2 linked regions of the Drosophila melanogaster genome follow. The gene in region 1 interacts genetically with each later gene. Each region holds a gene or a part of one and is shown in the gene's direction. Other genes may lie near its edges.

Region 1 (6,636 bases):
AAACCTGTCCTTATATTAACCTTTTTGTTATTGCAGATTGTAGATTGGAACAGATTGACAGTGCATAACACGAGCATGCGCGATGCCGGGGACTACGAATGCGTTGTCAAGTCGGCGGTAAACGAAATTAGCAGCAAGACCAGTGTTTCTATTGAGGGAGCTCCTGGCGCTCCTGGTGGTGTTCAAGTCATACAGATAAGTAAAACGAAGGCCATCATTGAGTGGGTGGACGGATCGCACAACGGTCGTGCGATCCGCTACTACAACATCCTAGGCCGTACAAACTGGAATCGCACCTGGGTTAATGTGTCGACCCATGTGCAGGCGCGAGAAGTAGATCGATACACCTCTCGCCAGCAAGCCGAGGTTGTCAATCTGACGCCGTGGTCGGCTTACGAATTTAGTGTTACTGCTGTAAACGATCTGGGAATCGGAACGCCCTCGGCCCCCTCGCCAATTTACAGCACCTATGAGGACAAACCATACATAGCCCCGAGGAACGTGGGTGGTGGAGGTGGAAAGATTGGCGACCTAACTATCACCTGGGATCCGCTTCTACCGCAAGAGCAGCATAGCCACGGCATACACTATAAAGTGTTTTGGAAGCTCAAGGGAGCCATTGAATGGGCATCTGACGAAATAAAAAAACAGGATCACATGGGCGTGGCTGTGGTTAATATTCCTCTTAATAACTACTATACGGAGTACGAAGTCAAAGTCCAAGCCATTAACAGTGTTGGCAAGGGACCGGAGAGTGAAATAGCTGTCATACACTCCGCTGAGGACATGCCACAGGTGGCTCCTCAAAAGCCCATTGCGCTCGCCTACAACTCCACATGCTTTAATGTCACTTGGCAACCTATAGACATGTCCCGTGAAAACATTCGTGGCAAACTCATTGGCCACAGGGTATGGTTACTGCACTTAATTCCATTGCATTGTCAAAAACCCTTATCTTTCACCAGTTGAAGTATTGGAAAACGACGCACCAGGAAGAAGACTCGGTATACTACCTGTCACGTACTACAAGGAATTGGGCGCTTATCGTAGGTCTACAACCAGATACTTACTACTTTGTTAAAGTCATGGCTTACAATGCTGCAGGTGAAGGACCTGAAAGCGAACGCTTTGAAGGTGTGTAACGAACAGTTTAAAAAACCATTTAAAGAAAATGCTTAAACACCATGCTTTTTAGAACGAACATATAGAAAGGCCCCGCAAAAGCCGCCATCTTCGGTTCACGTGTATGGAATAAACCCGTCTACCGTGCGGGTTGTTTGGAGATATGTTTCACCTTCGCAAGACGAGGAACCAGTAGAGGGTTATAAGGTACAACTCCCGGCACCGTGACCAAGAAAATCGATTACAGTTTGAAACTTTCTAGGTTCGCATTTGGGAATCGGACCAGAACATGATTACGGCCAACAATACCATAGTGCCAATCGGACAGAAACTGGAGTCGTACATCAACAATCTGACGCCAGGGAAGAGTTACAACATGCGAGTCCTCGCATACAGCAATGGAGGAGACGGTCGCATGTCCAGTCCAACTTTACACTTCCAGATGGGCAAGACCACGCGCAACGGCGCAAATACCCGACATGGCCACAATATCAATACGGCTCTTATCTTAAGCACATTGCTACTCATTAGCACCTTTCTTTACACAAGCCAATGAATGCAGCACAAATTAAGATCCATAACTTTAGGCAGTAAGAACATACATATACTAAGAAGTGACCTTATATTTGAGTAAGTGAAGTTATAAAAAGAACTACATTCCATCCGTGCTCTCTTGCAAGCCCCTTAATTGATACAAATGCAATTCCGTCCATTTTATAGACTTTTATCAAAAAATAATTTCTAAAATTTTATCAACAAAATAAATATGAATACCATTATATGGTCCAGTATGTTGCTGAACTAAAAATAACAATATCCCTATTTTTTTACTTGGAATAATGAATTATGAATTAATTATGAACGTGTGCCCCGGTTGGCCATATTTATGTCCCTTTTTGTTCACCTGGTAATACTACTCCTGCATTTTATACCCGATACTCGTGAAGTAAAAGGGTATACCAGACTAGTTAAAAAATATGTAGCAGGTAGAAGAGGTCTTGATCAGGATCGATCTGGCCATGTCCGTCCCTATGGACGTCGAGATCTCAGAAACTATCACAAATCAAAATTAATTATTGTCCAAAAATATCAAAAAGAACTAAGAACTAAGTGTTTATTTTTGGTTTTTCGATTATTTATTTTGCTGCTATTTCATCGCCCGCGTAAAACGGGCGGACATGGCTATATCGACTTGTCTGTTTTTACTGATTAAGAATATTTAATACTTATATATATGTATACGTAAATGTCTATTCGAATTTCCTTTCTACCAGGTACCCGGTATTCTTCTACAATTACAAACGAAAGCCATCTATCGGTGGGGTTACATTTATTGCTCACAACGCCGGAATATGTCATTAATGAAAAAAAAAGTTTGGTTTTTTCTTACTTTGCGTTAAAAATTAGTGCAGTATTGCAAATGGCTAGCTATTTTCCGCATACGGAAATACCACACAATACCAATCGGCTTCGGGAATCCCCCTAATATTACATGACGAATCTAATATGGTGCTGCGGTCCTCCTCGGTCACACTGAAATACTGCGAGCAGCGAGCAGTAGCTGTGGGCATTGGCAAAAACATAGAGAGAGAAGATAGATGCAAACATGGTTTTATAGCGGAAATCTCATACAATCGCACTGGACATCTGGGAACTTGAACCATCGACCTGCCACAGGCAAAGGCTTTCCCGTAAGGTTATCCTGGGTAGCTAAGGGAACACCATGGCGTATGGCTGGAACGGATGCGGAATGGGCGTGCAGGTGAACGGAAGCAACGGCGCCATAGGTTTATCCTCGAAGTATTCTCGCAACACGGAGCTGCGACGCGTTGAGGACAATGACATTTACCGGCTTGCCAAAATACTAGATGAGAACTCATGCTGGCGCAAATTGATGTCGATCATACCCAAGGGCATGGATGTGCAGGCCTGCAGCGGAGCCGGATGCTTGAATTTTCCGGCGGAAATCAAAAAGGGATTTAAGTACACTGCGCAGGACGTGTTCCAGATTGACGAGGCTGCAAACCGACTACCGCCGGACCAAAGCAAGTCGCAGATGATGATCGACGAGTGGAAGACCTCTGGCAAGCTCAACGAGCGGCCCACGGTTGGGGTATTGCTCCAACTTCTGGTGCAGGCAGAGCTCTTCAGTGCGGCAGACTTTGTGGCACTAGACTTCCTAAATGGCAAGTATGACTATGTTTGCCTTAAACTGACAAAACTAAAAAAAGTGTATCCACTGACTTCTCTAGAGTCCACCCCTGCCCGGCCTGTTGACGGTCCCGGTGCGCTCATAAGCCTTGAGCTGCTGGAAGAGGAAATGGAAGTGGACAACGAGGGGCTGAGCCTCAAATACCAGTCAAGCACTGCCACTCTTGGGGCAGACGCTCAAGGTAGCGTTGGCCTGAACCTGGACAACTTTGAAAAAGACATTGTGAGGCGGGACAAGAGTGTGCCCCAGCCGTCAGGAAACACCCCTCCCATAGCGCCACCTCGACGACAGCAAAGGAGTACTACTAACTCCAACTTTGCAACATTGACAGGCACCGGAACTACGTCGACGACCATCCCGAATGTGCCCAATCTGACAATTCTCAATCCCAGCGAACAAATTCAGGAGCCAGTGCTGCAGCCACGACCGATGAACATCCCCGATCTGTCTATACTCATTTCGAACTCTGGTGATTTGCGGGCAACTGTGTCGGACAACCCAAGCAACAGAACTAGCTCAACGGATCCGCCTAACATTCCGCGAATCACTCTTTTAATTGATAATTCTGGAGATGTAAACTCTCGACCAAATCACGCTCCAGCGAAAGCTTCAACGGCTACCACATCAACGGCGAGCTCAAACAACTTGCCAATGATAAGCGCCTTGAATATAAGTAAAGGCAGCAGGGAGACCTTGCGTCCTGAGAGCAGAAGCAGCTCCAGCAGCTTGAGCAAAGATGATGACGATGATAACGATGGTGAGGAGGATGGAGAGGAAGAGTACCCAGATGCCTTCTTGCCAAATCTGAGTAACTCAGAGCAGCAGAGCTCAAACAATGACTCCAGCCTGACAACGGTTACTGGCACCAGTGGTGATAACAGCTTTGAGCTAACCAACGACTCCAGCTCCACCTCAAACGACGATTACGCTTGCAACATTCCAGACTTGAGTGAGCTGCAGCAATAGATAAAAGCACCGACCATCGGCGGAGATGACATTCCGTTCGATAACTTATGCAACCCAGATGTATTCATTTGGCAGCTGGGTGTGGACCTTCTTATGTTATGCATGAGGTCCAACTAGAATCTAAGATTCAGTGCACGATTTGTTCATATCACGTCTGTAATCGTGACAGTACATGACAAGTACGGCAATATCAAATATTTCCGTTTCAAGAAAGCCATAACCCAATACCAAAATTTAACAAATTTTGTATACTTACGAAATACTCCTTCATTTTCTAGTATAAATTTCCTTAAACGCATAATGGGTTTCTGTGACAGTTTTGTCTTGGGACAAACTGCGATCTTATGACATTTTTCGTTATTAATTGATTGTTGCCTAAAATATTTCACAAGTACGATATAATGGCTAAATACAAATAAAATATTTTTGAAAACATTGTCTGTTTTTCTCGACGTTCATACTGATAATATACCACATGACCGCTTAAGTCAAAGCCTTTTTCAGGGCTGTAAGTTCAAGAGTTTAAGGCGACTGTTTTTTCTCGGTGAAAAAACTTTAGGTTTTTCAAATGAACGAATGCATTTTGTATGTAATTTTTGTACTATTTTATTTATGTGCACAGGTTAGTTTCGTTTAGTTACTAAATTAATACACTGTTGTCCGTTCCAAAATGTACACTTACCTTTCTCCTCGGATGACATGTCCATTGCCTTTTCCGTATAACTGCAAATTTTTGATTTTAATTGTTTTATTTTTGTTGTTCGAAACAGCAAACAGTATTACTCCACATTTGCTCTAATGCCCCGTGCCCGTGGCACGCAGAATAGTCGATCTTCAAACTGCTGACAATTAAAAATGTCTCGCACCTTGTTTTTATTTAAATTCTCATTTGCTATGGCGGGCGCGGTACGATATTGGTCCCGTGCTATCGCGTACCATTCATAATATCGATATCTTAAGAACAATAATCGGGAATTTGTTGGACACCTCTAGTGTTCGACGAAACCACTGAGCCAAACAAAATCCGAAATTATTCGCAACATGGACGAGTCGGAGCTGCTATTCAATCTGTTTTATATTCTGTTGTGCATGGTGATCATCTACCCGCCAGAGGAGTTCCAACGCCTGGGATTCACCATTGAACAGTTGTTCGCTCGGTTCCTGGGAGAAGAGTACCTGGACTTTGTAGGCTACCACCAGCGCCGTACTTCGCTGAATCTCTTCGTGCACTCCTGTCTGCCCTTCTCCTACTTTCTTATTCATAGGCTCAAGTTCTCCGTCTTCGCCACGCAGGAGCCCTTGGAGGACTTCGACCTGGACCCGGATTTCCCCATGCCCCAGGAAGCGGTAGCGTTTAAAACGCTTACGTGGAAAACCGCCCAGCGGTTCAGTGTGTTGGCCGTTCTGGCGATGCCCGCTCTGATCTTCAACTGGCACCAGGAAAACTGGCGTCGGCACCCGATCAGCAAGGCGCTCTCCAAGTACTCCATCACGCCGGGCAGCTACAGTGCCGTGGCTAGCGAAATTGGTATAGAGTTCCGGCAACCGGAAATATACAAGAAGAAGCTAAATTCCATTAGCTCGGTGATTGCCACGCAGAACTGGATAATAAAAACCACCATGTACAATGTTCACTTCGCCCATCAGAGCAACACGTCGCTTAGCGTAGCTAAGGTCAGTGGTACACGATTCCTTTGTATGTGCGACCCTAATATTTTGTCCGCAGGCAGAAACTTACAACATATCGCATCAAGACCAAAACGACACCTTGCAGATGATAAGCATTATTGTACGGCCAATGAGGCAGGGTGTGAGCGACTTCCACATACGAATTAATGCCCTGGAGTTTAGGAATCTAGAGAACCGAGTCCGACGACCAATCGCAATTCCCTCCAACATTCAGTTACACCGCAATGTTATAGACCGTTTTGTGGACGTCTTCAAGGCGCAAGTCGCCCAAAATCCCATTTTTCCAGATGATGCTACTACGGAAAAGTGTTTTGCCTGCATGCTAAACGAACCAAACACCAAGATCCACAAGCAGTGTGCCGACTTTGATCGCAATGGCGCTCCCTTGGCGAACGGGGCGTGCTGCTCAAACTGCTACTGCCGGCCCATGTGGTGTGTAGAGTGCCTAGCGCGCTGGTTTGCCGCTCGCCAAAGTGACGTGGATCGTGAGGTGTGGCTGGAGCAGAAGTGCACATGCCCAATGTGCCGAGCCAAGTTTTGTGTGCTTGATGTCAGCTACATCACAACCACAGTCGATGCAACTAACAGTACTCAGAGTCAAGGCACCGAAGAAGATACTAATGACACCACGTGATTTATGACTGTTA
Region 2 (5,765 bases), on another chromosome or scaffold:
CTGAGCCAGAATGCGGAGTATCTGGAAAAGCTGCAGACCTACGGAAAGGCATAGGGAGATATGGGGAACTATTGCTTACTATTTTATTAGTATTTTGAGCACGAACCAAATATATTGACTATTTATAATTAAAACAAAATTTTGCATTTCGTTTTTATGAAAAGTAACAGTTAGCAAGTAAGTTGGCAACGCGGTGCTAGAAATATCGATAAGCGATAGGTGGTAGTGCATTAGGTCAGTAAGCCGCCGGTGTTTTCTGTTATCGACTGAATGGTATTATTGTTGTGAAATTTAAAAACATAGTCGCTGAATTTAGGTAAATAAACTTGTTTGATGGCTTCTAACAAGGTAGGTTCACAAATAATCGCATTTAATGTTAAGGTATCTCCATTGTTTGATTTCCAGGAATGCCTTATAATTGTACTGGATGTGCGAACATGTGCCGCCGAAGAAGTGAAGCTGAAGTCCGCAAAATGTGTGGCGGAGATTCTTAAGGACAAGGTGTGTGAAATACAATTGGGAACTCAGTTAAATATGCTAACTGAAACAATTGCAGATCGTGTGCGATAGGAAGGACTACGTGTCCTTCGTCCTCGTGGGTTGCGACACCGATGAAATAAAAACTGAGGATGCTTCCCACCCAAATGTGCTGCCCTTTGGTGAACCAAGACTTTGCAGCTGGCAGCTCTTGCTGGAATTCTTCCAGTTTGTGAATAAGACAGCCTGCGAGGATGGAGAATGGCTAAATGGTCTACAGGCGGCCCTGGAGCTTCAGAATGTCGCAACTACGTATGTGACTTACCTTATCATCTAACCATCACATTTTATGGAATATTCCTTGCAGCTTGAGAGTCGCCAGGCGGAGGATCCTCCTGCTCTTCGATTTCAACGACTTTCCACAGGACTACGAGAAGTTCAACGAAATCACGGACGAATTACTTGGCGAAAACATCGAGTTAATTGTGGGGTAAGATTATTTATTTTGTTAAATGCATAATAGTAATAATAATTTACATTATCACTTAGAACTCACAACATAGCCTACATAGACAATGCCATCACTTCTCAGCCTCAGGCTATTTTCAACTTTTCGCGCAAATGCGGCCCCGATGAGCTGAATAACCAGAAGTACGCCCTCAGTCTCGTTCCTCGCTGCAATGCGACGTTGTGCAGCTTCAAGGAGGCACTGCATACCGTCTTCAAGGTGACCAACCGGCGACCCTGGGTGTGGAACGCAAAGCTGAACATCGGCAGCAAGATCTCCATTAGCCTGCAGGGCATAATCGCCATGAAGAACCAGACGCCCGTAAAGCTGGTAAAGGTCTGGGCGGAAAAGGATGAGATAGTGATACGGGAGACTCGTCATTATATCAAAGGCACTGAGATCACCCCGCTGCCGGAGAATCTGATAACCGGTTACATGCTGGGCGGCACTCCGGTGCCATACGACGAGGCCGTGCTAGAGCCAAAGGAACCACACCCACCTGGTCTCCACTTCTTTGGCTTTATCAAAAGAAATGCCGTGCCGGATGAGTACTTTTGTGGCGAGTCCTTGTACCTCCTGGTGCATCAGAAGCACAATCAATCTGCCGCCGTGAAGCTGGACGCTCTGGTGCGTGCTCTCGTTTCTTCGGATCGGGCCATACTGTGCTGGAAAATATATAGCACCAAGTTTAATAGACCGCAAATGGTTGTGCTACTGCCCCGCTTAGCAGACGATACCCATCCGGCTACTTTGTATATGCTGGAAGTTTCCTATACGTCTCAGCACCACTTCTGGGACTTTCCGGCACTGCGAACCACCAAGACGGAGTGCAGCGAGGAACAGCTGAATGCCATTGATCAGTTAATCGATAGCACCGATCTGGAGTGCACACTGCGGGACACGCAGCAGCCACGTCCGTGGGCGCAGAATGATCTGCTGCCGTTCGACGCACTTCCCAGCATCTTTGAGCAGAATGTCATGGACATCCTAGAGCGAAAAGTTATCTATGATAACGACAAGGAAGACAAAATGCTTAAGGACAAAAACTTCGCAGATGTATTCTGGCGAGTGCCAGATCCCTTGGAGGAGAAGTCAAAGAGAGCGGCAGCCATCGTAAAGAAGCTATTTCCATTGCGCTATAGTCGCGCCTGGCAGGAAAAGCTGTTGGCCAAGGAGCAGGCAGAGAATGGTGTGGCAGTCAAGTCGGAACCAGCGGAGAAGGAAATCCCGTTGCCATCAGACGGTGTGGGCTTAATTGATCCAATCTCTGATTTCAGGCGAGTCCTGGCTAGCGTTCACACAATCAGTAATGCCACTGAGCGAGATGCCCGCTTTCAGGCGCTGGCTGCCGATACCCGCGTGGTGATCATCACACTGCTGCAGCGCAGGAAACAGAACATCGGGCAACTGGGCGAGCTCATCACCCTGTACCGACAGAGCTGTATAGACTTCAACACCTTTTTGGAATACGACAAGTTCGCTGAGGAGCTGAAGAAGATCGCGCTGGCCAAGAATCGCAGCGAATTCTGGCAAGACGTTATGGTCGACAAGCAATTGGGCCCTTTGGTGCTTGGCGAGCCGACGCTGGACGACGAATTGGCTCTAAAAGCCTATTACACCATCGAGAATTGGGTGGAGAGTGGGGCGAACGATATGGAAGACGTTGAGATGTAGTTTATCATTCCATTTTGTTATATTAAGCAAATGTGCTAAAATTAGTTTTTGTTATACACAGTTTTTCTTATATGTAAGTCGAAAATAAATTATTATATTGTTTATATATATATACCAGAGTAAAAACTCGGTCGCATGTTTTAAAAACAACATTATATCCCTGGGAAACCACATCCAAATGATGATGATAATACATCTCTATGTTAATAAACATCGACACGCAGGAAGGAAAACGTTAGTAATACTTCTTATGATTGAGAAAAAAAAGTAAAATAAATACAATTTTCAATTCCAAATTTAAACTGAATACTTTTTGAAAATGGCGGCAACAACTTGTTGTTTTGCACTTATCGATATTTCCAAAAATCATCGGAGTGCGCATACCAATTAATCGATTCGGAATTCCGCTCCATACAGCTGATTTTAATCAGCGCTTTGGCAATAGAATTTAGTCAAAACCCGAGGGCATACTGTACCAAACTGTGGGGCTTCTGTTGAGGATTAGCCATGGGAGTTCCCACAAGCGATTGGATATACTGGTGTCGCCTGTGCGCCCGCGACGACGTTGTATACAAAGTGCGCGAGCGGGACGACGATCTGGTTAGGATTATCAGCAAATGCTTTGATGTGGAGGTATGTTATTCGTTTTCCCAGCCTACAGATAGCTTATACATTAGTTTTCCACACACGCAGATGACCCTCGAGGAACCGGAACTGGGCAGCATGTTGTGCGAGGAGTGCTACTCGGTGATTGGCCAGCTGATCACCTTCTCGGATAGCGTTTCCAAAGTACAAGCCATTTTTGAGCTTCTGCGACACTCGGAGCCGCAGGATAGCCAGGACTTGGACGCCCTGCGTCTGGAATACGGCCTTCCGCCGGCCTGCAAGCAGGACCTCGAGTTCCTGGACATAGACGATACGGAGGATAGGTGTTCCTTGGTAGAGGAGCTAACGATATCAGACCATTCCACATCTCCGTCACCCGATTTTGAAGCACAGACCGTGCGAACACGAGCTAATCTCAAACAGTGTAATTCCGATCCCAAAGTGCTAGCCTCACCTACTGCATCAATTCCTGAAGTTGAAACAAAACGAAGTCGCCGACAGCAGTTTGCGGCTAAGCGAAATTCCAAAGTGTACACTGCAACCGAGTCGGATGATGAGGAGGCCATTCTAGACGAAGACGAGGCCGTATCCCCGCCGCCTTTGAAGCGAAAAAGAGGCAGACCCAAGGGCTCAGGCAAACAGAAAAACGTGGACGACAGCGATAACGTAACTTCCCGCGAACCAGACGACAATGCTAAATCCAAACAAGATGACAAGACATCCGAATTGAGCATGTCACCCCATGGCTCCCAGAGTTCGAATTTCGTCGATTATCCCTGCAAAATCTGCAACGAAACCTTTATGTCCTTCATGGCTCTGCGCAGGCACAAGCACGACATGCACGGCGGTCCGAAGAAATACGTTTGCGATCACTGCGGAAAGGGTTTGAAGACCTTCACATCGCTGGTGGAGCACCAGCTGGTTCACACGGAAGAGAAGCCCTGTATATGCCCCGTCTGCAATGCTGGTTTTAAGAACAAAGCTAGGCTGAGAGTAAGTCATCGAATAATCTTGTGGACCAACTAAATCTTGAAATTTGTATACAATTTCCAGGTGCACAGTCAGACACATGGTGAGCCCAAGTTTGAGTGCAATGTCTGCGGCAAAAAGCTGCAGACACGGGCGATTCTTAACAAGCACAAGTATGTGCACACGGATGAGCGGCGCTTCAAGTGCGAGGTTTGTGGCAGCGGCTGTAAGAACTCCACGGCCTTGAAGATCCATCTCCTTGGACACACCGGCCTCAGACCCTACGTATGCAAGTACTGCGGAAAGGCGTTCGCCAGCAACACCAACTGTCGCTCCCACAAATGGAAAAAACATCCGGAACTGGCGTCCAAGGAGGATGAAACCGAATCTTCACGTGTTCCAGTGCCAACATTGGAAGAACTGAGAGCGATGTAAGCTATAGTCATGCATATTATTATTATTAGCTTACTATTGTACTAAATTTTTGGTTTGCAGAACTCGCGAGATGGCCAAGGCCAAACAGGATTAGACCATGTTGGTTGACAAAAATGTATAAATAGCAGTGCGCAGTAAAATTTTATCCCAGAGACATTTACATTTACACTTAATTAAACACACAACTGCCCTTTTTGCATTTAAATTGGTTTTTAATAAGTTTCAAAATAAATTCACTTTTTAAACGCACACTTAAATTGGGAAATGTGTTCACACATGAAAATGACATTGTATAAAAGATAATAATTGTTTGACTCACAATGTAGATTTAAAAATAACAATTGTAATTTGTGACACCAAATTATGCGTACACTTTGAAACACTCAATTGAAACTCCTGTGAGCGGTTGCAGCATATTTTAAAGATGAGCGCTATTCATAGAACTCCCACGCATGGTTCACTAGATTGCGACAAGTTGGTCTGTAGATAATTCCAAGGGCTTATTCACAATAAAATCAGTTTGAAATTATAACTCAGCAAATGTAAATGCTTCGTGCTAACACCAGATACATTGACACCTAATTAAACACACAACGGCCCTTTTTGCATTTAAGTTGGTTTTTTTTTTAATAATTTCAAAATACATTTACAATTTAAACGCACACTTAAATTGGGGAATGAATGAATGGCATATTGATCACCTATCAATATTTTGTGCCACAACTCGGTGATAAAATAGTAAATATTAAGCGATTAAATAATAAAAATGTAACAAGAGAAAAAAATATAAGGAACAACTAAATTAATACAAATTAGATCATTTGTGAGTGGGTCTCTGTGTAGGATAAATATCTAAACATGTTTTGATTTCGATGGTTTCTCTTTAATTACTTGCTGTTTAGGTTAACACGTTGAGAAGCAAAATATTTTGGCATGGCCTTCCTCCAAACCGAGCAGAGTCAATAAATAGTGCATCCAAGTAGGTTGGCTCTCTATCCCTTCCACCTTCACTCACTCCTAGTCAATGTTCAGCGAGGACATTAACTCTTCGACGCTGCATGGAAATAGAGGAAAGAAAAAATCATGTTGATTAAAC

What was found. Genes that interact genetically often act in the same process or in processes that back each other up.
Region 2: of tub (region 1) and wek, changing one enhances a phenotype caused by changing the other (phenotypic enhancement), as found in Drosophila melanogaster (one study listed by BioGRID).

What each region holds. Positions count from the first base shown.
Region 1 is NT_033777.3:4,385,085-4,391,720, forward strand, and holds tub (tube), read left to right. Parts: upstream 1-2,657; 5' UTR 2,658-2,845; coding exon 2,846-3,308; intron 3,309-3,374; coding exon 3,375-4,300; 3' UTR 4,301-4,729; downstream 4,730-6,636. Other genes in the region: Cont (contactin), read left to right, coding at 37-909, 966-1,134, 1,196-1,329, 1,385-1,678; CG14646 (uncharacterized protein), read left to right, coding at 5,342-5,974, 6,027-6,623. UniProt on the Drosophila melanogaster protein: Plays an essential role in the Tl receptor signaling pathway that establishes embryonic dorsoventral polarity; the signal directs import of dl into ventral and ventrolateral nuclei, thereby establishing dorsoventral polarity.
Region 2 is NT_033779.5:15,765,633-15,771,397, reverse strand, and holds wek (weckle), read left to right. Parts: upstream 1-3,048; 5' UTR 3,049-3,166; coding exon 3,167-3,292; intron 3,293-3,352; coding exon 3,353-4,258; intron 4,259-4,318; coding exon 4,319-4,665; intron 4,666-4,729; coding exon 4,730-4,763; 3' UTR 4,764-5,265; downstream 5,266-5,765. Other genes in the region: CG31826 (uncharacterized protein), read left to right, coding at 1-54; Ku80, read left to right, coding at 334-348, 406-501, 557-789, 845-967, 1,027-2,659; CG3793 (uncharacterized protein), read right to left, coding at 5,687-5,723. UniProt on the Drosophila melanogaster protein: Acts as an adapter to assemble/stabilize a Toll/wek/Myd88/tube complex; required for efficient recruitment of Myd88 to Toll. Dispensable for innate immune response; plays a minimal role, if any, in the immune defense against Gram-positive bacteria and fungi.